Linked DNA regions of Anolis sagrei. The protein of the gene in region 1 purifies or fractionates together with the protein of each later gene. This does not show direct contact. Links are inferred from orthologs where the notes say so. Each region holds a gene or a part of one and is shown on either strand. Other genes may lie near its edges.

Region 1 (7,803 bases):
ACCAAAAGGTCATGAGTTTGAAGCCAGCCCGTGTCGGAGTGAGCTTCCGACCAAATTTGTGTAGCTTGTCAATTTTGCAGCCCAAAAGACAGTTGCATCTGTCAAGTAGGAAATGTGAGTACCACTTTGTGGGGAGGCTAATTTAACTAATTTATGAGGCCATAAAAATCTCCACCAAGGACGCGGAGAATGAAGAAGTACTTCATTGGTGTCGTGGATGGACGGTGAAGTGACAGCTCCCCTGGGGGCCAGAAAAAGTTGGAATGTTAAATAGCCTCTGACTGTCTGTCTATGGCATTGAATGTTTGCCATGTATATGTACATTGTAATCCACCCAGAGTCCCCTGCAGGGTGAGAAGGGCGGAATATAAATACTGTAAATAAATAACAAAAGTCACAGTTTTACAAGGTCTTTAAAATGTCTCTGATATAAAATTACTATTGCTGCTCTGGCTTGCAGGTGCTGTTGGCTTGTTGGTATCATTAGTTATGTAATACTCTTTTAATTCTATTTCAAATGATTTTTGGTTTCTGTAAATTGATTTCTATGTCAATTTTTTTTTGTGTCGAGTTGAGTTACTTGATAGCTAAGTTTAATTTGACTGTAGATATTGGTTCACTTGGGACTTGGTCAGGCTGTTATTGTACAGGGTTAGTCAAAATGAATAGGCCAATAAGAAAATTAATTGTACCCGAATTGGCCTATTCATTTTGACTAACCCTGTACTTGTATTTGAATTTATGGTCATGTGAAGGCACTGAAATTTTGCCTTTTTGTTTGTTGGAATCTGTCCTGAATCCCCTTGGGGAGATAAGAGTTTTATTATTATTATTATTATTATTTGAAACACAACAAGATGAGCTCACAGCAGACAAGATCACTCTGCTGGCTGTTGTATTGGATCACACATCGGACACTTCCCAAGTGTCTAGGATTGTGTGATATATTGGCGAATAATGTGTGCAGATCCCAGTAAGGTGACATTCTGCAGCTAGCAGATGGTAATTTTGTCAGTGTCGATTGTGTTTAAATGCATGCCAAGGTCTTTAGGCACTGCACCCAGTGTGCCAATCACCACTGGAACCACCTTTACTGGTTTGTACCAGAGTCTTTGCAGTTCGATCTTTAAATCCTCATATCGTGTCAGTTTTTCCAGTTGTTTCTCTTCAATCCTGCTGTCACATCGACAATCCGTACTTTGTTTTTTAACATGATCGTGAGGTCAGAAGTATTGTGCTCCAAAACTCTGTCTGTCTGAATTTGGAAGTTCCAGAGTAGTTTGACATGTTCATTTTCTGTAACTTTTTTCCAGATTATGATTCCACCAGTTCTTTGTTGCAGGCAAATGGTATTTGTGGTATTATTATTATTATTTAATCTGCTAAAGATTGCTGGTGCCTTGCCAAACTACAACTCTCATGAGCCACGGCTCTTAATGTGGGCAAGTCAATGAGATGTGGAAAAAAATATATTAATGTATGAAAACGAATTCAAGAGGACTAATAAGGACAGGGCTAACACATAAATATATCTGTTTATCCTTCCAATGAATTATGCTGGGGGAAATGGAAGGAAAAAGGAAGAGGGGTCGACCAAGGGCAAGATGGATGGATGGTATCCTTGAAGTGACTGGACTGACCTTGAATGAGCTGGGGGTGGTGACGACCGACAGGGAGCTCTGGCATGGACTGGTCCATGAAGTCACGAAGAGTCAGAAACAACGTAACGAATGAACAACAACAGCCTTCCAATAATCAGCATAGCACCCCTAATATCTGGGCCCCCCTGGTGGTGCAGCAGATTAAACCGCCAAGCTGCTGAACTTGCTGACCAAAAGGTTGGCAGTTTGAATGCGGGTGAGCTTCTGCTGTTAGCCCCAGCTTTTGCCAAGCTAGCAGTTCAAAAAGATGCAAATTGCACCACAATTCAAGAGAGATATTGACAAACTGGGATGTGTCCAGAGGAGGGCGACTAAAATGATCAAGGGTCTGAAGAACAAGCCCTATGAGGAGCAGCTTAAAGAGCTGGGCATGTTTAGCCTGAAGAAGAGAAGGCTGAGATGAGACATGATAATAATGTATAAATACGTGAGAAGAAGTCACAGGGATGAGGGAGCAAGCTTGTTTTCTGCATCCTTGGACACTAGGACGTGAAACAATGGCTTCAAACTACGAGAGGAGATTCCATCTGAACATGAGGAAGAACTTCCTGACTGTGAGAGCTGTTCAGCAGTGGAACTCTCTGCCCCGGAGTGTGGTGGAGGCTCCTTCTTTGGAAGCTTTTAAACAGAGGCTGGATGGCCATCTGTCAGGGGTGCTTTGAATGCAATATTCCTGCTTCTTGGCAGGGGGTTGGACTGGATGGCCCATGAGGTCTCTTCCAACTCTTTGATTCTATAGCAGATCAATAGGTAGCATTTCAGTGGGAAGGCAATGGCACTCCATGCAGTCATGCTGGCCGCATGACCTTGGAGGTGTCTACGGACGACGCCGGCTCTTCAGCTTAGAAATGGAGATGAGCACAAACCCCAAGAGTCAGACACTATAATGTCAGGGGAAACCTTTGCCTTTACCTATTTATTTGTCGTGTCAGATCAACCAGTCAATTATATTACATTTCTAACAGAACAAAGCAAACAGACAAAATACAATACCTTTACCTTACCTACCCCTAATAGCTGCTAAACTGTACATGGGTTTGGGTCAACTTGGGCCCTTTAGGTGTTCTGGACTCCAACTACCGGCTGTTAGGAATTGTAGGAGTTGGGAGTCCCAAACACCTGCGCATGCGCAGTGCAGCGGCACCCTAAGAGACTCTGGTGGCGCTTCCCCCTCCTTCTCTCTCACCTTGCCTTTCCGCACGCGCTGCACCTCAGCCTGGAACTCTTGCTGTCGGTCCAGGTCCAAGGAAAGGAGCGGGGCCGCCTGTCTGGCCTTGGCTTTCGCCTTCGCCGCGGAAGAGCCTTCTGTTACCGCCGCCATGGCGCCTCCGCAGCAGGAAAAGGGGCCGCCTCTGCCTCACACGGCGTGTGGCTGCCAAGAAACGGAAGCCTCCTCTCGTCACTTCCGCTTGGCTGGCTTGGTGCCACAGTAGGAACAAGGACGGCAGAACAGCGGCCCCTGCTGGCTGGGGGCGGAAGTACTGGATGAGGAGTGACTCCAGTGATATTCACAAATGCAAAGACAGCCAGACCTCCATATCCTCGCATTCTATATAATATAATATAATATAATATAATATAATATAATATAATATAATATAATATAATATAATATAATATAATATAATATAATATAATATAATAATCATCATTGTATATCATAGGATATACGTGTGTGTGTGTTTAAATTTGGGTCCCATATACATTTCTCTCTCTCTCTCTCTCTCTCTCTCTCTGAAGAGCAACCTTTGATTTTGCCATTTTACAGAAAGGTCAACATTTTACTATGTTGTTGGGCCCTGTTCCATTATCATCACTGTATATCACATGAGATATGTATGAACTTGGATCCTATATATATATATATATAATCATAGAATCAAAAAGTTGATCATACAGTATTGGATAATCAAGAAAGGTATTTTATGCAAGGCTGCACTTAGAATCAAAGACTTGGAAGAGACCTCATGGGCCATCCGGTCCAACCCTCTGCCAAGAAGCAGGAATATTGCATTCAAATCACCCCCGACAAATGGCCATCCAGCCTATGATTAAAAGCTTCCAAAGAAGGAGCCTCTACTACACTCCAGGGCAGAGAGTTCCACTGCTGAACAGCTCTCACAGTCAGGAAGTTCTTCCTCATTTTCAGATTGAATCTCCTCTCTTGTAGTTTGAAGCCATTGTTCCGTTGCGTCCTAGTCTCCAAGGAAGCAGGAAACAAGCTTGCTCCCTCCTCCCTGTGGCTTCCTCTCACATATTTATACATGGCTATCATATCTCCTCTCAGCCTTCTCTTCTTCAGGCTAAACATGCCCAGCTCCTTAAGCCGCTTCTCATAGGGCTTGGCTAGTGTATGTATGTATGTATATATATATATATATATATATATATATATATATATATATATATATATACTAGCCATCCCCTGCCATGCGTTGCTGTGGCCCACATGGGGGTTCTGTGTGGGCGGTTTGGCCCAATTCTATTGTTGGTGGGATTCAGAAGGCACTGTGATTGTAGATGAACTATAAATCCCAGCAACTACAACTCCCAAATGTCAAGATTCTGTTTTCCCCAAACTCCACCAGTGTTCACATTTGGTTATATTGAGTATTCTTGTAGAGTTTGGTCCAGATCCATCATTGTTTGAGTCCACAGTGCTCTATGGATGTAGGTGAACTACAACTCCCAAACTCAAGGTCAATGTCCAGCAAACCCTTCCAATATTTTCTGTTGGTCATGGGAGTTCTGTGTACCAAGTTTGGTTCAATTCCATTGTTGGTGGAGTTCAGAATGCTCTTTGATTGTAGGTGAACTATAAATCCCAGCAACTACAACTCCCAAATGACAAAATCATAATTTTTTGAGTGATGGTCACTCCTTGTGTTGTGAGACGTTTTGTTGCCAAATTTGGTGTGATTTCATTCATTGGTTCTTTTGTATATATATAGATAGATATAGAAGATAGATAGATTAATTAATTAATTAATAAATTAAATAAAAATATTAATAAAAATAAATTAAAATAATTAAAATAAAAAATAAAACAGATTAAACTCCCAAGCAAAACATGCAGAAATCCAATGCTCTCCCTTGACTAGACTTTTCCCTCTGTGCTGATCTTCCCACCAAAACTACTACAAGGCAACCAAACTTGAATCTTCTCCTCCCATTGGAGGGACACAAACCCTATGATACCTACTAGGCAAAACGAAAGCCAATCAGGAGAGCCCTTTGCAGTTGGCTCCTCCAGCGATAGGCGGGCTTTGGAACAGCGGCGGGCTGCCGATTGGTGGAGAGAGGGAGAGGAGGCGGGCCTTAGCGAGGTAGAACGGGAGAAAGGGATCCCGCCGCGCGCTGTGAAGAGAAGCAGAGCGGAGCCTCGGTTGCAGCCATGAGCGGCGGGGTCTACGGAGGAGGTGAGCGGAGGGCTTGGCGCATGCGCGAGATGGGAAAGCCAGGCGGGGCTGCGGCGCCTTTAAGACCGAAGGGAAGGGGACTCTCCTTTGAATGACTCTGGAGTGGAAAGCAGGCTAGACTCTCTGAAGTTGCAGCTAGACCAGGCCTGGGCCAACTTGGGCCCTCCAGGGGTTTTGGACTACAACTCCCACAATTCCTAACAGCCGGTAGGCTGTTAGGAATTGTGGGAGTTGTAGTCCAAAACCCCTGGAGGGCCCAAGTTGGCCCAGGCCTGCCTGATCAGAAATACAAGCTGATGGCTTTGCTGACATCTTCCAAACTAGCTCTCACTCCTTGATGGATTGTCACTTTGTTGTGTTTGGAGACTTGTTAGGAGACTTGTTGTGGTTAGGAGACTTGTGTCTTCCAGGCCTCTGTAACTTCAATGTATTTTGCCCATAAACTTACTTATTTATTTGTTTATTTATTTATGATATTTCTACCCCGCCTTTCTCGAATCCGAAGGTGACTCAAGGCGGCTTTTCAACATCAATCCAGACAAGACAGAGGTCCTCCTGGTCAGACGCAAGGCCAAACAGGGCATAGGGTTACACTCCCCCTTTTATTTTGTCGTGTCAGGAGCGACACAAGAGACTGCAAGTCGCTTCTGGTGTGAGAGAATTGGCCGTCTGCAAGGGTGTTGCCCAGGGGACGCCCAGATGGTGCAGGTTTGCAGCTTGGGAGTCATCCTGGATTCATCGTTGAGCCTGGAACACCAGGTTTCGGCGGTGACCAGGAGAGCTTTTCCCGTACCTTGGGAAGTCTGACTTGGCCACGGTGGTCCAAGATCTACAAGCCACTCTAAATACCTTTGCAGAAGCGTACACGAAACTTGGCCCGTCACTGAACATCGAGAAAACCAAAGTGCTGTTCTAGCAGTCACCAGCCATCCCCTCTCCAATGCCAGAGATACAATGGTGCAACATTAGAAAATGTTGACCATTTCCGCTACCTTGGCAGCCACCTCTCCACCAAAGTCAACATCGACACCGAAATACAACACCACCTGAGCTCTATGAGTGCAGCATTTTCCCGAATGAAGCAGAGAGTGTTTGAGAACCAGGACATCCGTAGGGATACCAAGGTGATTGTCTATAAAGCTATTGTCCTCCCAACCCTGCTATATGCCTGTGAGACGTGGACTGTCTACAGACGTCACATGCAACTCCTGGGAAGACAAGCAGACAAACGTCAGTGTGCTGGAAGAAGCAAAGACCACCAGCATTGAAGTGATGGTCCTCTGCCATCAACTCTGCTGGACCGGCTACGTTGTCTGGATGCCTGACCACCGTCTCCCAAGGCAGTTGCTGTACTCTGAACTTAAGAATAGAAAACGGAACGTTGATGGACAGGAAAAGAGATTTAAAGATGGGCTCAAAGCCAACCTTAAAAACTGTGGCATAGACACCGAGAACTGGAAAGACCTGTCCCTTGACCGCTCCAGCTGGAGGTCAGCTGTGACCAGCAGTGCTGCAGAATTTGAAGAGGCAGGAATGGGGGGCGAAAGAGAGAAACGTGCCAGGAGAAAGGTGCGTCAAGCCAACCCCGACCAAGACCGCCTTCCACCTGGAAACCAATGCCCTCACTGCGGGAGAAGATGCAGATCAAGAATTGGGCTCCACAGTCACCTATGGACCCACCAGAATACTGAGCCTGGAAGACTATCCTACTCGGCAGCCAGTGGAGATGGTGTAACAAGGGCGTTGTGCACTGCCTGTACCCAGCCCCAGTGAGCAACCTGGCTACTGAACGTTGGACTAGTTGAGGCTTCCGGGCAGTCTTCCGGGTTGCCTCTGAAGACTGCCCGGAAACTGCAATAAGTCCAACGCTCGGCAGCCAGGCTACGGACAGGAGCGGGGTACAGGGAGCACACAACTCCTCTGTTGCGCCAGCTCCACAGGCTGTCAATTACCTTCCAAGCACAATTCAAAGTGCTGGTTTTAACCTACAAAACCAGATACGGTTTCGGTCCAGTTTACCTGTCCGAACGTATTCTCCCCTATGAACCATCAAGGCTGTTAAGATCTTCCAGAGGGGCTCTGCTCTCAGTTCCACCACTTTTGCAATTGTGTCTGGTGGGGACGAGAGACCGGGCCTTTTCCATGGTGGCCCCTCGGCTATGGAACTCTCTCCCAAATGAGATTAGATCTGCCCCCTCTCTCCTTACCTTCAGGAAGCTAGTGAAATCCTGGCTATGGATTGAAGCTTTCCCAGAATAATGGCTGAGACCGGCAACAGACTAAAGTTATTGACATATGCGGACTAAGTTGGACATGATTTTACCTTGGTGAACTGGCTTATATGTATTTTACTTTATATGTATTTTAATCTACTGTTGTATGATGTTTTAAACTGTGTTGTGGCATTGTGAGCCGGTCTGAGTCCCTCTGTGGAGGTTGAGAAGATCGGGATATAAAAGTTTTGAATAAATAATAAATAAATAAACTTATTTGCCTCATAAGATTTTGTTTTTGTTTAATCAAAGTTATCCAGAGTCTATATTTGTGTTTGCAGATGAAGTTGGAGCTCTGGTCTTTGATATCGGGTCTTACACTGTGAGAGCTGGCTATGCTGGAGAAGACTGCCCAAAGGTAAGAACAAAAGTGGGCTGTTATTACCTGGTAACAATGGCATCGTCTACACTGCCATATAATCAAAGCAGATTATCTGGATTTTATATGGC
Region 2 (7,093 bases), on another chromosome or scaffold:
TTTTATTTGCCTCTGTCAAACTATTTGGGGGATTTTTACAGTGTTAAGTGCCTTCTAGCCTGGCAACCACCCAAGCAGCAGCCAGGCTTTGCTTTTAGGTTAAAATGATCAGCTCTCACGTTTTGTGAGGATCGCAAATAATAACTCCAGTCTGATTTGGATTTATGAGGTTAATTCTTGAAAGGGCTAATCAAATATATTTTGTTTTTTCCATAAACGTTTTGTATACAAGCAGATGGTTATCAGACTATGGGAGGGAGCACCAGTTGCTGATTCTGTACTTTAGTCTCAGCTGTGGTTTTTTTGCCATGAATCAGCCTGAGAGTTACTGTTGTCAGAAGTGGGGAAAGTTTGCAAGAATCTCTTCCAAACTGGTAAAGCTGATGTATAAGTACGTGTACTTAGCTACTTAATGCAATGCTTTTGTTCCCAGAATGGTATTGTGTGAATCTATGAAATCTCAAAGATTCCATTTGTGTACTGATGACTTGCTTTAAGATCATAATTGTTAGGGAAAACTATGCGAAATAAAGCAGAGCATCCAAAAACAATCAGGATACAAAAAGTTGAGCATCAGCTCATTAGCAAGCAAAGCCAAGTGATATGGCTGTAGAGAATTCAGAGCTTAGGAGCCAATCTTTTAAAAAATCACAAAAGGTTTATTTACAACTAGCCGTCCCCTGCCACGCGTTGCTGTGGCCCACTCTGGTGGTCATGGGGGTTCTGTGTGGGAGGTTTGGCCCAATGTTATCATTGGTGGGGTTCAGAATGCTCTGTGATTGTAGGTGAACTACAAATCTCAGCAACTACAACTCTTAAATGTCAAGATTCTATTTTCCCCAAACTCCACCAGTGTTCACATTTGGGCATATTGAGTATTTGTGTAGAGTTTGGTCCAGATCCATCATTGTTTGAGTCCACAGTGCTCTCTGGATGTAGGTGAACTACAACTCCAAAAACCAAAGGACACTGCCCACCAAACCCTTCCAGTATTTTCTGTTGGACATGGGAGAACTATGTGCCAAGTTTGGTTCCATTCCATCCTTGGTGGGGTTCAGAATGCTCTTTGATTGTAGGTGAACTATACATCCCAGCAACTACAACTCCCAAATGACAAAATCATTTTTTGAGTGAAGGACATACATTGGGTTGTTAGGTGTCTTGTGTCCAAATTTGGTGTCAATTTGTCCAGTGGTTTTCGAGTTCTGTTAATCCCACAAACGAACATTACATTTTTATTTATATAGATAATAATGAACTACCTATATTTCTTCATGGTAAAGAACTGGGTCTGAGCTACTCCAACATCCATCTCTTCTAACATTTCAACAGAAGAGAAAACTCAATCATTACATCTCTCCTGACACACAAGCAGAGAGAGATCTCAAAGCACACAGCACATACTCTCCATACTAAAGTGTAGGAAGGCAGAAGTCTGATTCAAAAAGGTTTGCAGTAGAAAAGTATCCAATTTAAAGAATGAGAGCAGAAAGAAGAGATGAAAACAGACACATTCCCAACTGTCATACAGGAGACATGGGGGAAAGGAAAACTCTCAGACTATTCTAATGCTAACCAATTTCTCCTCATTGAGGGCTTGAGACTTGATCAGTGTGGGGTTGCATTCCAACAATAACAACACCCAAACTGTACCATCATTACATAGTTTGGGTGTATTGTATAGTATAGTATAGTATAGTATAGTATAGTATAGTAATGGCTTCGCTAGGAAGCTCTATATAACACAGCTAATGTTCTACTATCCACTAGAATCTGCATATCCCAGGGCATTTTCTCCTTAAACAAGAATTTGGGGTTGGAGTGGGCAGGCGGGTAGATAGGCTTAAATTAGGCACAGGCCTGAGTCCCTCAGGACCACAAGCGCAGGATTGCTGATGTCTTGGAGGTCCAAACAGCTACTATAAGACAAGTAAAATCGTGAGACAAGCAGAAATGGCAGAAATAGCCTACAGAGCTTTCCAACCATTTCATGTTGGTGACACACTGTTTACACATGCATCACAACATATCTCATGAAAATCGTTTATTTTTATTTTTTGTTGTTGTAGGTTTTTCCAGACTATATGGCCATGTTCTAGAGGCATTTTTTTCCTGACGTTTTGCCTGCATCTTTGGCAAGCATCCTTAGAGGTAGTGAGGTCTATTGAAACTAGGAAAATGGATTTATATATCTGTGGAATGACCAGGGTAGGACAAAAAACTCTTGTCTGCTGGAGTTAGGTGTGAATGTTTCAACTGACCACCTTGATTAGCATTTGATGGCCCTGGCAGTGCCTGGGGCAATCTTTTGTTGAGAGGTGATTGGATGTGCCTGATTGTTTCCCCTCTGTTTTGCTGTTGTAATTTTAGAGTTTTTTAAATACTGGTAGCCAGATTTTGTTCATTTTCATGGTTTCCTCCTTTCTGTTGAAATTGTCCACATGCTTGTGGATTTCAATGGCTTCTATGTGTAGTCTGACATGGTGGTTGTTGGTGTGGTCCAGCATTTCTGTGTTCTCAAACAATATGCTGTGTCCAGGTTGGTTCATCATATTTTTATTTTTGTAAATAAAAATGTAACACAAAACTCAGAGGTTTTGTGTTAACATTCGCGCAACACACCCATGCACTCCAGTTGACACAGTACAACACACAGATTGTAAAGCTCTGTTCTACTTGTTTAAATTGCAAAGGATAGTCTACTGTTAGGACAGAGTAAAAAAAAAAGCCAGAAACAAAGCATACAGAGTATGAACATGCAAATATATTTAGCCAAGTGCTTTTTTATATCTACGTGTATGTTACTACTGAGATATTCTACAACTGAGTTCGTAAGGTAGCAACATGGTTGTAATATTTCTAAACTGTTTCGGATACTTTGGGACATGTCTTTTCAGCCATGATTGTTTCTTGTCTGGAGTTCCTCTGTTCTTGAGTGTTGTTTACTCTCCTGATTTTTGATATTTTTTTAAAATATTGGTAGCCAGATTTTGTTCATTTTCATGGTTTCTTCCTTTCTGTTGAATGTGTCTACATGCTTGTGGATTTCAGTGGCTTCTCTGTGTCGTCTGACATGGTGGTTGTGAGAGTGGTCCAGCATTTCTGTGTTCTCAAATAATATGCTGTGCCCAGGTTGGCTCATCAGGTGCTCTGCTATGGCTGGCTTCTCTGATTGAACGAGTCTGCCCTGCCTTTCATGTTTCTTGGGACAGCTTTTCTTTTTTTTGGTCGTGTCAGGAGCGACTTGAGAAACTGCAAGTCGCTTCTGGTGTGAGAGAATTGGCCGTCTGCAAGGACGTTGCCCAGGGGATGCCCGGATTATTTTTTATGTTTTATCATCCTTATGGGAGGCTTCTCTCATGTCCCCCCATGAGGAGCTGGAGCTGATAGAGGGAGCTCATCCGCCTCTCCCTGGATTCGAACCTGCGACCTGTCGGTCTTCAGTTCTGCCGACACAGAGATTTAACCCACCTCGCCACCGGGGGCTTGGGACAGCTAATCAGCTCTCAACAAAGGATTCCCCCGGGCAGTAAGAAGCTACACCTTGAATCTGCTAGGCCATCAAATGCTAATCAAGGTGGCCAATTGCAACATTCACACTTGCCTCAAGCAAAGAAGAGTCCTTTCTCCCACCCTAGACTTTCCATAGATATATAAACCTCACTTGCCTAATTTCCAACAGACCTCATAATCTTTGAGGATGCCTACCACAGATGCGGGCGAAACGTCAGGAGAGAATGCTTCTGGAACATGGCCATACAGCCCGAAAAACTTACAACAACGAAGTCCAAAACACCTGGAGGACTTTGTTTTAAAGAGTAGGCAAAGCACTGCATACCACCTTAATCCTGTAGCTGCCTCCTGCAGAATTATGGGACTTGTAGTTCAGAGAGGCGAAGAAAAGATCTCGCTAGTCTAGCTGGTTCCTCCGTAGACCACAAGCCCCAGGATTTAAAGTGGAACGCACCCTCTTTAACCTATTCCGGACGCAGAAGCGTATCACCCGCTGTCCAATCCCAAGGCGGAGAGCTCTAGCGGAAGGCGCCCCCGTGGCCAATGAGAGCCTCCTCCTGAGGCGGAAGTGCGCGTGGCCGAGGAGGAGGCGGGCCTGCAATCCACGTGCGCGCTTTCGGGGAGCGAGGCCTGAGCAGCATGGGGCGCAAACTGGACCCGGCGAAGAAGGTCAAGCGGGGGCCCGGGCGCAAGGCCCGCAAGCAGCGCGGCGCCGAGGAGGAGCTGGCCGGGTTCCTGCCTCCCGGTGAGTCGGGCCAGGGCTGCCTTGGCCGTGGAAAGCCCTCGGGATGGGCCGAGGCCTCAGGGGCAGAGCACAGCCCTCGCCACAGCATCCCGGGAGTTGCCCTTTGCGGGGAGGCCCCGGCCCTCTTGGGCAGAGAAGGCGGGAGACCTTGTGAAACCACAACTCCCAGGGTTCCTGGCCCTTGATCCGTGCGTGGCCCTTCAAGGAGCCGCATCCTGGGTGGGAGATATAGTGCTCTGTCAGGTCGGAAGTGGACTCATTATATGAGACTGCACTGCCATAGAATCCAGATTATCTGCTTTGGATTGGATTCTGTGGCAGTGTAGACTCATATAATCCGGTTCAAAGCAGATAATGTGGCTTGTCTGCTTTGATAATCTGGATTATATGGCAGTGTGGAAGGGACCTGGTTTATATGGCAGTATAGACTCATATAATCCACTTCAAAGCTGGTAACGTGGATTGTCTGCTTTGATAATCTGGATTATATGGCAGTGTGGAAGGGACCTGGATTATATGGTAGTGTAGACTCATATAATCCACTTCAAAGTTGGTAACGTGGCTTGTCTGCTTTGATAATCTGGATTATATGGCAGTGTGGAAGGGGCCTGGATTACATGGAAGTGTAGACTCATATAATCCACTTCAAAGATGGTAACGTGGATTATCTGCTTTGATAATCTGAATTACATGGCAGTGGGGAAGGGACCTGGATTATATGGTAGTGTAGACTCATATAATCCACTTTAAAGCAGATAATGTGGATTGTGTGCTTTATTCATCTGGATTATATGGCAGTAGACGGGGTTTTACAGAGTTCCAGGGAGAAATTGAAGTGGTTCAGTCATGGGACTGGTTTCTACAGCCCTTTTATACTGCCGTATAAGATTATCTGTTTTGAACTGGGTTATATGACAGTGTAGACATATAATCTAGTTCAAACAGGTAATGTAGATTATCTCATTTAATAATCTGGATTACATGGCAGTCTAGAAGGGGCCAATCTAATCAAAGCATTTATCTCTGATATGTCTAAATGAAGAATGGGCATCCACTGGATTCTCACTAACCTTAGAGGATGATTAGGCAGTTGGAGGGCAAGGAGAGAGATTTTCTTGAAAGGCAAATTGTGGTCATAAATATGGGAGGCAGGACAGTTACTGCTAAATAAGCATCATACCGCCAATGAAAGGGAAACTCACAACACTGAATCCACAAACATTTGCACATATGTACAGGCCTTTGCTTTGATGGTCTGGATTTTATGGCAGTGTAAAAGGAGCTTCATATACTCTGGGACTTCCAAATTCAGACAGACAGCGTTTTGGAGCACAATACTCCTGACCTCACAATCATGTTTAAAAACAAAGTATGGATTGTCAATGTTGCAATCCCAGGTGACAGCAGGATTGAAGAGAAACAACTGAAAAAACTTGACACGATATGAGGATTTAAAAATTGAACTGCAAAGACTCTGGCACAAGCCAGTCAAGGTGGTCCCAGTGGTGATCGGCACACTGGGTGCAGTGCCTAAAGACCTTGGCCTGCACTTAAACACAATCGGCGCTGACAAGATTACCATCTGCCAGCTGCAAAAGGCCACCTTACTGGGATCTGCACACATTATTCGCCAATACATCACACAGTCCTAGACACTTGGGAAGTGTCCGACATGTGATCCAATGCAACAGCCTGCGTCTGCTGTGGACTCATCTTGTTGTGTTTCAAATAATACTAATGATGATGATGATGATAGCAGCAGCAGCCATCCTTATGGCTCGATGTTTCTTCTAGACTGGAAATCTTGCCATTGTCCTTGTTGGGATTTTGTGCATATTTTGCCTTGGGCCCTTCCACATAGCCATATAACCCAGAATATCAAGGCTGATAACCCAGAATATCTGCTTTGAACTGGGTTATCTGAGTCCACACTACCATATATTCCAGTTCAAAGCAGATAATGGGCGATTTTATTCAGCTGTGAGAAAGCAGGCCTACTGCTACTCCTTTTGTGGAAAACACAGATCTCTGTCACACTACACTTTAAAGTATAGGATTTAGAGTGTGCATTCCACCATAGGATCCTGGGATATGTGGTTTGTAGAGGCATCATCCTTTTTTGGCAGAGAAAGCTAAAAACCTTATGAAACTACAGCTCCCATGGTCCCATAGCATGGATCCACAGCAGTTAAAGTGGTGTCAGACTGCACTAATTCTACAGTGTGAATGCAACCTTGAATTCAGCTAGGAGCTCTTGATGTTGTTCTAGCTGTGCTTACTCTCTTGATCAGCCTCCTATAGAGATTGATATGTCTATGTTTTTCTTCCAAGACCCTGATGACAATATAAAGAAGCTCTCCAGTCACGCACGACGAAGGTTAGTAGGAAAGTCACCAAAATTTGCTAACAGTTCAGAATATAACTTCCTCTTCATTTATAAACTGTTAAAAATTATAACATCCTTTTTTAAAATACGGCTTCTCAAACCTATTGAGAATTTGTTGGTTGCTCATAAATATCAGGGTGTTATATTGTGTGTTACTAAAGATTAAAATCAAGTGTGAGAATTTACAATCGAATAAACAATAGATGGCTGTCATTTTAGGCCACCTAATGGAATTAATCACAACCTCTGAGGATGCTTGCTACAGATGCAGGCGAAACATCAGGAGAGACTGCTTCTAGAACATGGCCATATAGCCCGAAAAACCTACAACAACCCAATTGTTTATTCATTTCTTAAAAGCATTTATAGCCTGTTCTTCAGCCAAAAATAATCCCTGAATGTTTCAAAGCTATTCCGTTTTCTTTGGTTTTGACTTTGCTTTGTGCACC
Region 3 (7,878 bases), on another chromosome or scaffold:
TTTCAACAGCAATAGTATAGTGGAAGTTGCTTCTGGTGTGAGAGAATCAGACATTGCCCAGGGGATGCCCGGATGTGTTGCTATCAATTTGCTTCTGAAACAATCAATAAATAACAGCAATATTATATTGACTTTTTTTTCTAGTTGAATGTAAAAAGAAAAAAGAAAAAGAGAAAAAATATAGAAAGTATGTGTTTTCACATGGAAAGTGGGGGAACAATGCACTGATAGGATAGTAGAAAAGAAGAAAAGAGAGAGAAAAGAAAATATTATATATATAAATCTAAAGGTAGAATAAAAAGAAAAAAAGTGTGATTTTGATTTCCATTCTTGTTCATAGCAGTTCTTCATTTTTATTATTATTTGTGTGTGTGTGTATTATTAACCTTTCTCTCTTTTTATAGAGTGGCATCTTTCTTTTTTCTGTCCCTTGATTATGATTTTTTTCCCAATCCATCTCATTCATCTTGCAATTCTTTTGAAAGATATATTTACTTAATTTATTTCTTTACAAAGGGGATTCAGAGCAGCTTACAAGAGATATATACATACAATATATTATATTATTAGCATAGTAAACATCAGTATTAAATATTACTATATTGTACTATACCGTTATATTGTAACATTATTAGTAATATTACATAAATATATATATTATTTACGATTTTGTTTTATTTACGAAAGTTATCACAGGGGAGAGGCGGATGAGAGAAGCCTCCCACACGGATGATAAAAACATCAAATCATCCTGGCATCCCCTGGGCAACGTCCTTGCAGGCGGCCAATTCTCTCACACCAGAAGCAACTTGCAGTTTCTTAAGTCGCTCCTGACACGACAAAAAGAAAAAAAACAACAACAGGGAGATATATATATATATATATATATATATATAGTATTGTTGAAGGCTTTCATGGCTGGAATCACTGGGTTGTTGTCGGTTTTTCGGTCTATAAGCTATATGGCCAAGTTCTAGAAGCATTATCTCCTGACCTTTCACCTGCATCTATGGCAATCATCCTCAGAGGAGTGGGGTGTGTATGTGTGTGTATCTGGCGAGCACTACAGTCACAAAGAATACCAGAAGACTATGTAACATGGATAAAGCTACTATACAATAATACAAGTATGGTCCGCTGTCCTGAGGAGATTTCACCACCCTTCAACATCACTGTTAGCATGCATCAGGGATCAGTACTCTCACCATTACTATTCATACTCTGCATTGATACTGCTACAGCAGATTTGCAGACTATGCATCCCTAGACAATCCTATATGCAGATAACATAGCACTCAGCCACCAAAAGCGTGCAGCCCTCCAACGACAGCAGCAGACATTCAGTGATAGTGAATATTGACTTCAACTGAACATACCCAAAACACAGTATCTGGAATGTGGCCTTCAAACTGGAAAAACAAGTCTCCAGACCCTTGATCATTTTAGGCGCCCTCCTCTGGACACATTTTCTTAGGCATGGAATCATCTGCTGCTTCCTCTGAAATGTAGCCTTCAACTCCCGGTATTCCTTGTATTCTTGTCTCCTGGATATGTCATCAGTTGGAGACCCCTCTCCCCCCCCCCCCCCCCACCAACCGCCGCTAGGAGTGAGTACAAAGGAGGCCAGGGGACAGTTCCATCTTGTCTCCTGCATATGTCATCAGTTGGAGACCCCTCCCCCCAGCATCAACCACTGCTCTGAGCCAGAGTGAAGACAGAGGAGGCCAGGGGACAGTTCCACCTTGTCTCCTGTGCTATGCTAATCTATATAAATAAAAATGTAATGTTAGTTCGTGCTACCATCAGAACTCAAAAACCACTGGGGGAATTGACATCAAATTTGGACACAAGACACCTAACAGTCCAATTTATGTCCTCCACTAAAAAAAATATATGATTTTGTCATTTGGGAATTGTTGTTGCTGGGATTTATAGTTTACCTACAATCAAAGAGCATTCTGAACTCCACCAATGATGGAATTCAACCAAACATGGCATACAGGACTTCCATGACCAACAGAACACACTGGAAGGGTTTGGTGGGCATTGACCTTTAGTTTGGGAATTATAGTTCACCCACATCCAGAGAGCACTGTGGACTCAAACAATGATGGATCTGGACCAAACTTGGCACGAATATTCCATATGCCTAAATATGAACACAGATGGAGTTTGGAGGAAATAGACCTTGACATTTGGGATTTGTAGTTACTGGGATTTATAGTTCACTACAATTAAAGAGCATTCTGGAACCCACAAACGACAGAAATGGGGCAAACTTCCCACACAGAACCCCCATGACCAACAGAAAATACTTTAGGCCAGTGGTTCTCAACCTGGGGTCCCCAGATGTTTTTCCTACAACCCCCAGAAATCCTAGCCAGTTTACCAGCTGTTAGGATTTATGGGAATTGAAGGCCAAAAACATCTGGGGACCCCAGGTTGAGAACCACTGCTTTAGGCCATCCAGTCCAACTCTCTTCACCAGGGCAAGAAAATGTAATCAGAGTCCTCCTGACAAAGAGCCATCCAGTCATAAATATAGATAGATAGATATGATTCTCTCTCTCACACACAGATATAGTATCATAGATTTGAAAGAGACCCTTAAAGAAGGACTATGATATGTTGCATATTCTAGAGTAGGCAAACCAGACACTCTCCACATCAACACTGACAAAGAAACAACAAGAAATACTGTTTACTCACAAGCATAAAGGAATTACATATATTAGAAACCAACACTTTCTCATTTCTTTATTTTCCAGATCACCAGGCTGGGCCACAGCAACGCATGGCAGGGGACAGCTAGTATATAATATAATATGATATAATATATTGTATATACATATAATATTTATAATATTATAATGTAATACAGTATAATACTAATAATAATGATATGATATTAGAATTATATATTTTATATTACATGTGCTATTACTAATAATATTACAATATAATTGTATAGTACAATATAGTGATGTATAGCACTGATATTGTACTGTGCTAATGGTATAATGCAGGGGTCCTCAAACTTTTTAAACAGAGGACTAAGTCACAGTCCCTCAAACTGTTGGAGGGTTGGACTATAATTTGAAAAAACATGAATTCCTATGCACACTGCACATATTTTATTTGTAGTGCAAAAAACCCCACTTAAAAACAATATAATAATTAAAATGAAGAACAATTTTAACGAATATAAACTTATTAGTATTTCAATGGGAAGTGTGGGCCTGCTTTTGGCTGATATTTATTTATTATTTATCTTGTCATAGGCAACCAGACCATTGTATTACATTTCTAACAGAACAGAAAAAAAACAGACAGACAGACAAAACACAAAGTTTGCAAGCTTGGTAGTTGATTAAATGTCCTTTGACCAGTATCTGGCCACTTGGAGTGCCTCTGGTGTTGCTGCAAGAAGGTCCTCCATTGTGCATGTAGCAGGGCTCAGGTTGCATTGCAGCAGGTGGTCTCTGTTTTTGGCTGATGATATAGGATTGTTGTTGTTGTTGTGTGCTTTCCAAGTCATTTCAGAATTAGATTGACCCTGAGCGAGGGCCGGGTAAATGACCTTGGAGGGCCATATCTGGCCCCCGGGCCTTAGTTTGCGGACCCCTGGCATAATGTATTGCATATCTTGAAACCGCTCTGACATAAATAAATAAATAAATATTCCAGGTACTGACCATGGCTAATCCTGCTTTGCTTCTAAGGTCTAATGGTATCTTGTGGTATCAAAGATACAGAATGGGGGATGACTGGCTTGAGAGCAGTACGTGTGAAAAAGATCTTGGAGTCCTTGTGGACAACAAGTTAAACATGAGCCAACAATGTGATGCGGCGGCAAAAAAAGCCAATGGGATTTTGGCCTGCATCAATAGGGGCATAGTGTCTAGATCTAGGAAAGTAATGCTACCCCTCTATTCTGCTTTGGTTAGACCACATCTGGAATATTGTGTCCAATTCTGGGCACCACAATTCAAGAGAGACATTGACAAGCTGGAATATGTCCAAAGGAGGGCGACTAAAATGATCAAGGGTCTGGAGACCAAGCCCTATGAGGAGCGGCTTAAGGAGCTGGGCATGTTTAGCCTGAAGAAGAGAAGACTGAGAGGGGATATGATAGCCATGTATAAATATGTGAGAGGAAGCCACAGGGAGGAGGGAGCAAGCTTGTTTTCTGCTTCCTTGGAGACTAGGACGCGGAACAATGGCTTCAAACTACAAGAGAGGAGATTTCACCTGAACATGAGGAAGAACTTCCTGACTGTAAGAGCCGTTCAGCAGTGGAACTCTCTGCCCGGAGTGTGGTGGAGGCTCCTTCTTTGGAAGCTTTTAAACAGAGGCTGGATGGCCATCTGTCAGGGGTGATTTGAATGCAATATTCCTGCTTCTTGGCAGGGGGTTGGACTGGATGGCCCATGAGGTCTCTTCCAACTCTTTGATTCTATGATTCTATGATTGTGCATTTTAGGCAGTCTAGCCTTTTATGATTGGGAACCGGAAGTATAGTGTCTATAAATATTGTCTCTTTGTTTTGGTTGCAAAACTACTGCGCATGCGTATTAAGGCCGGACGTTTACATGACAAGCAAGTATTGGCGTTCTACCGCCGCCATCTTGGTAGGGTATTTTCTTTAAAGGCACCTTTTAACTGAGAAGACGCTGATGGAATAGTGCAATAAGACACCAGTATTTTTAGAATTCTTAACTATGTGATTCTGCATGTCTGTCTGTCCCTGCGGTTGGGATTGAGGTTAAAAACCGGAAAGGGAGGGGGGAAGGAAAGAGATATCTGCCACACTCAATATGACTACAGAGGCAGTGACGTTTGTAACCAGGAAGAGGCAAGCCTACGGATCGGGAGAAGGATCATAGGAAGTTTTACCCACGTGCTAGCCTGGTGGTAGATCTTCAGCGTTTGAGGCTGATTCCTCTGCCAAGATGGGGAAGAAGGGCAAAGTAGGAAAGAGCCGAAGGGACAAGTTCTATCACTTGGCCAAGGAAACAGGTGAGGATATGGGATTGGGAGCATTTCTGGTATTATGTCAAGAAGCCACGTTTCCTTTCTTTGGGGGTTAGAGGCTCAATTGATAGCTTTTAGGTGGAGAGAAAGCCCATTCTCCATAGAGGATGAAACATTAAGCCTTGATTTTCAGGGCTGCATCTACACTGTCGAATTAATGCAGTTTCTTAGAATCAAAGAGTTGGAAGAGACCTCATGGGTCATCCAGTCCAACCCCCTGCCAAGAAGCAGGAATATTGCATTCAAATCACCCCTGACAGATGGCCATCCAACCCCTGTTTAAAAGCTTCCAAAGAAGGGGCCTCCACCACACTCCGGGGCAGAGAGTTCCACTGCTGAATGGCTCTCACAGTCACGACTTTAACTGCCATGGCCCAGTGCTACAGAATTGTGGGAGTTGTTGTTTAGTGAGGCACCAGGATTCGTTAGCAGGGAAGGCTCAAGACCTTGTAAAACCATAACTCCTGTGATTCCATAAGTAGTGCCAAACTACATTCTACAGTATAGATCAAGGGTCCTCAAACTTTTTAAACAGAGGTCCAGGTGACAGCCCCTCAAACTGTTGGAGGGCCGGATTATAATTTGGAGGAAAAAAAGAACAAATTCCTATGCACACTACACATATCTTATTTGTAGTGCAAAAACCACTTAAAAACAATACAATAATTATAATGAAGAACAGTTTTAACAAATTTATTAGTATTTCAATGGGAAGCGTGGGCCTGCTTTTGGCTGATGAGATAGGATTGTTTTTGTTTCTGGACAAGATTTGTTCGTAAGTTTGCCATTGCAACCCTTTGAAGCTGAGAGAATGTGATTAGCTCAAAGTCAGCATGCAGGTTTTATGAGTAAATAGGATTTGAACCTCATCTCTCACTACACCAATCTGGCTCCGTACATCATTTTATAATGAGGTCCAGTATGGTGTAGTGGTTTGAATGTTAAACTTGGATTCCAGGGGATCGGAATTTGAATCTCTGCTCAACTGTGAAAACCCACTGGGTGACCTCTGGCAAGTCACATTATCTCGTCTTCAGTGGAAAGCAAAGGGTAACCCCCTCTGAACATTTTTTTCCTATGTAAACCATAAATACTGAGCCATAAGTCAGAAACAACTTGAAGGCACACATCAACAACAAAGATAACAGTTCTCCGAAAATTAAAATGCTCCACAATTTAAAGTGCTGGTTATGGCCTGTAAAGTCCTATGTAGCTTTGATCCAGACTATTTGAAAAACCCAATCTTGTATCAACCTGATTAAGTGTGAAGATCCCTAGGATGTCCTCTCTTAGGGCACTGCCATTTAGCAGGGAACTGGGTGATTAGTTCTGTAATACAAGCGCATACAGGACATCTAACTTTGTGGCTTTATTTTCTTTTAATTCTTTGGGCTTCAGCTCTCTTATGGATCACCAGAGTCTTTCAGAACATAATTTTAGTGCATAAAGTAGTGCTCAGAACTTTTGGGACACACTGGATTAAGTAGCTGTTGGGCCTTTTTTTACTTGCAGTCCTAAAGTTCTAATTGTACTTGTTGTTTGTGTCTCGTTTCCCCTCTTCTAGGATTCCGTTCCCGTTCATCTTTCAAGCTCATCCAGTTGAACCGAAAATTCCAGTTCCTTCCCAAATCCAGGGCACTTCTGGATCTGTGTGCTGCTCCTGGAGGATGGTTAGTGAGCAGTAAAGGGAACAGGGAACCCTATTATTGCAAATTACTGCGCATTTGGCATTGGTACCAGTGCAATGTACAAGACTCCATATTATCTTAAATAGCCAAAGACCAGCTGAGTTAACAACAAGCTAGTTGAAGTTGTGCTGAATAAAACCCCTCAGTCAATGGATATTAGAAATTACCTTTGGCCTGAGTTTGTTCTGAATGCTAAACTGAAGATGTTTTTTGACATAATGCAACTTCTCCCTTGTTCTGCCCTTCTTTGTTTTCATTCTGACTTCTCTGCTGCCAGATCTTAGCCAGCAAATAATTCTATCTTGGCTGTTCCCCAGGATCAGCCATTAGAAGAATGTTTTGACCACATAGAAATATTTCTGTGGATAGTATAGGCTTTGGGCTAATTTTAATCTATTGCAGCCTGTGTATCTCTGAGTGGTATTGTCGAAGGCTTTCATGGCCGGAATCACTGGGTTGTTGTAGGTTTTTTCGGGCTATATGGCTATGTTCTAAAGGCATTTTCTCCTGACGTTTCGCCTGCATCTATGGCAAGCATCCTCAGAGGTAGTGAGGTTGAGTTATCTCTGAGTTATTAATGCATTAATATGGTGCTAGCATTCACATTTCTGCGGTGTTTTAAGAGATGTGCAAGATTTTGAGGAACGTTGAATAAAAAGATTCTGCCTTTTTCATGTTGTTGTTTATTCATGGATTCTCAAAACGAGACCTGTTTCCGTTTCATCTTCCAACAGGTTGCAAGTGGCCTCAAAATTTATGCCAGTGTCCAGTCTTATTATTGGTGAGTAACCTAGTTGTGAGAGGATGAGGAGTGGCATATCTGGAGAAAATAAAATAGGAAGGGCTTTGCTGGATTGGACCACATGTTTTTTCTTATTTTATGCATGCTGTTTAACTCTGAGGCAAATCAGATGGCTCAGGATAATACACTATCAGGATACAAGCCCCTCTGTCACTGTTATTCCCAGCAGCTGATCTTCAGATATTTTAAACAGTAGGCCTTGTCATCCATAGTCATCATAGCTTGGTCTAGTGTTAGAGCAGTGGAAAGCAGGAGGTGGTGGTGGTGAAATCAACAAAAGAGTAGTGATTAACAGTTTGGAGTGTTCAGAACTCTGCATAGATTGATTTTTGGTAAGTCTCACAAATCTTGTGT

The links. The genes of interacting proteins can lie anywhere in the genome.
Region 2: the proteins of NIFK (region 1) and NOP2 fractionate together in Homo sapiens (co-fractionation; 3 studies listed by BioGRID, with this or other methods). This does not show direct contact. The link is inferred for Anolis sagrei from reciprocal best matches to the Homo sapiens genes NIFK and NOP2.
Region 3: the proteins of NIFK (region 1) and FTSJ3 fractionate together in Homo sapiens (co-fractionation; 3 studies listed by BioGRID, with this or other methods). This does not show direct contact. The link is inferred for Anolis sagrei from reciprocal best matches to the Homo sapiens genes NIFK and FTSJ3.

Annotation. Positions count from the first base shown.
Region 1 is NC_090023.1:257,608,475-257,616,277, forward strand, and holds the start of NIFK (MKI67 FHA domain-interacting nucleolar phosphoprotein), read right to left. Parts: upstream 3,020-7,803; 5' UTR 2,983-3,019; coding exon 2,848-2,982; intron 1-2,847. Other genes in the region: ACTL6A (actin-like protein 6A), read left to right, coding at 5,056-5,080, 7,635-7,711.
Region 2 is NC_090022.1:197,352,298-197,359,390, reverse strand, and holds the start of NOP2 (28S rRNA (cytosine(4447)-C(5))-methyltransferase), read left to right. Parts: upstream 1-4,074; 5' UTR 4,075-4,152; coding exon 4,153-4,258; intron 4,259-6,589; coding exon 6,590-6,635; intron 6,636-7,093. UniProt on the Homo sapiens protein: S-adenosyl-L-methionine-dependent methyltransferase that specifically methylates the C(5) position of cytosine 4447 in 28S rRNA. Required for efficient rRNA processing and 60S ribosomal subunit biogenesis.
Region 3 is NC_090026.1:37,882,582-37,890,459, reverse strand, and holds the start of FTSJ3 (pre-rRNA 2'-O-ribose RNA methyltransferase FTSJ3), read left to right. Parts: upstream 1-4,859; 5' UTR 4,860-4,952; coding exon 4,953-5,019; intron 5,020-6,598; coding exon 6,599-6,704; intron 6,705-7,456; coding exon 7,457-7,503; intron 7,504-7,878.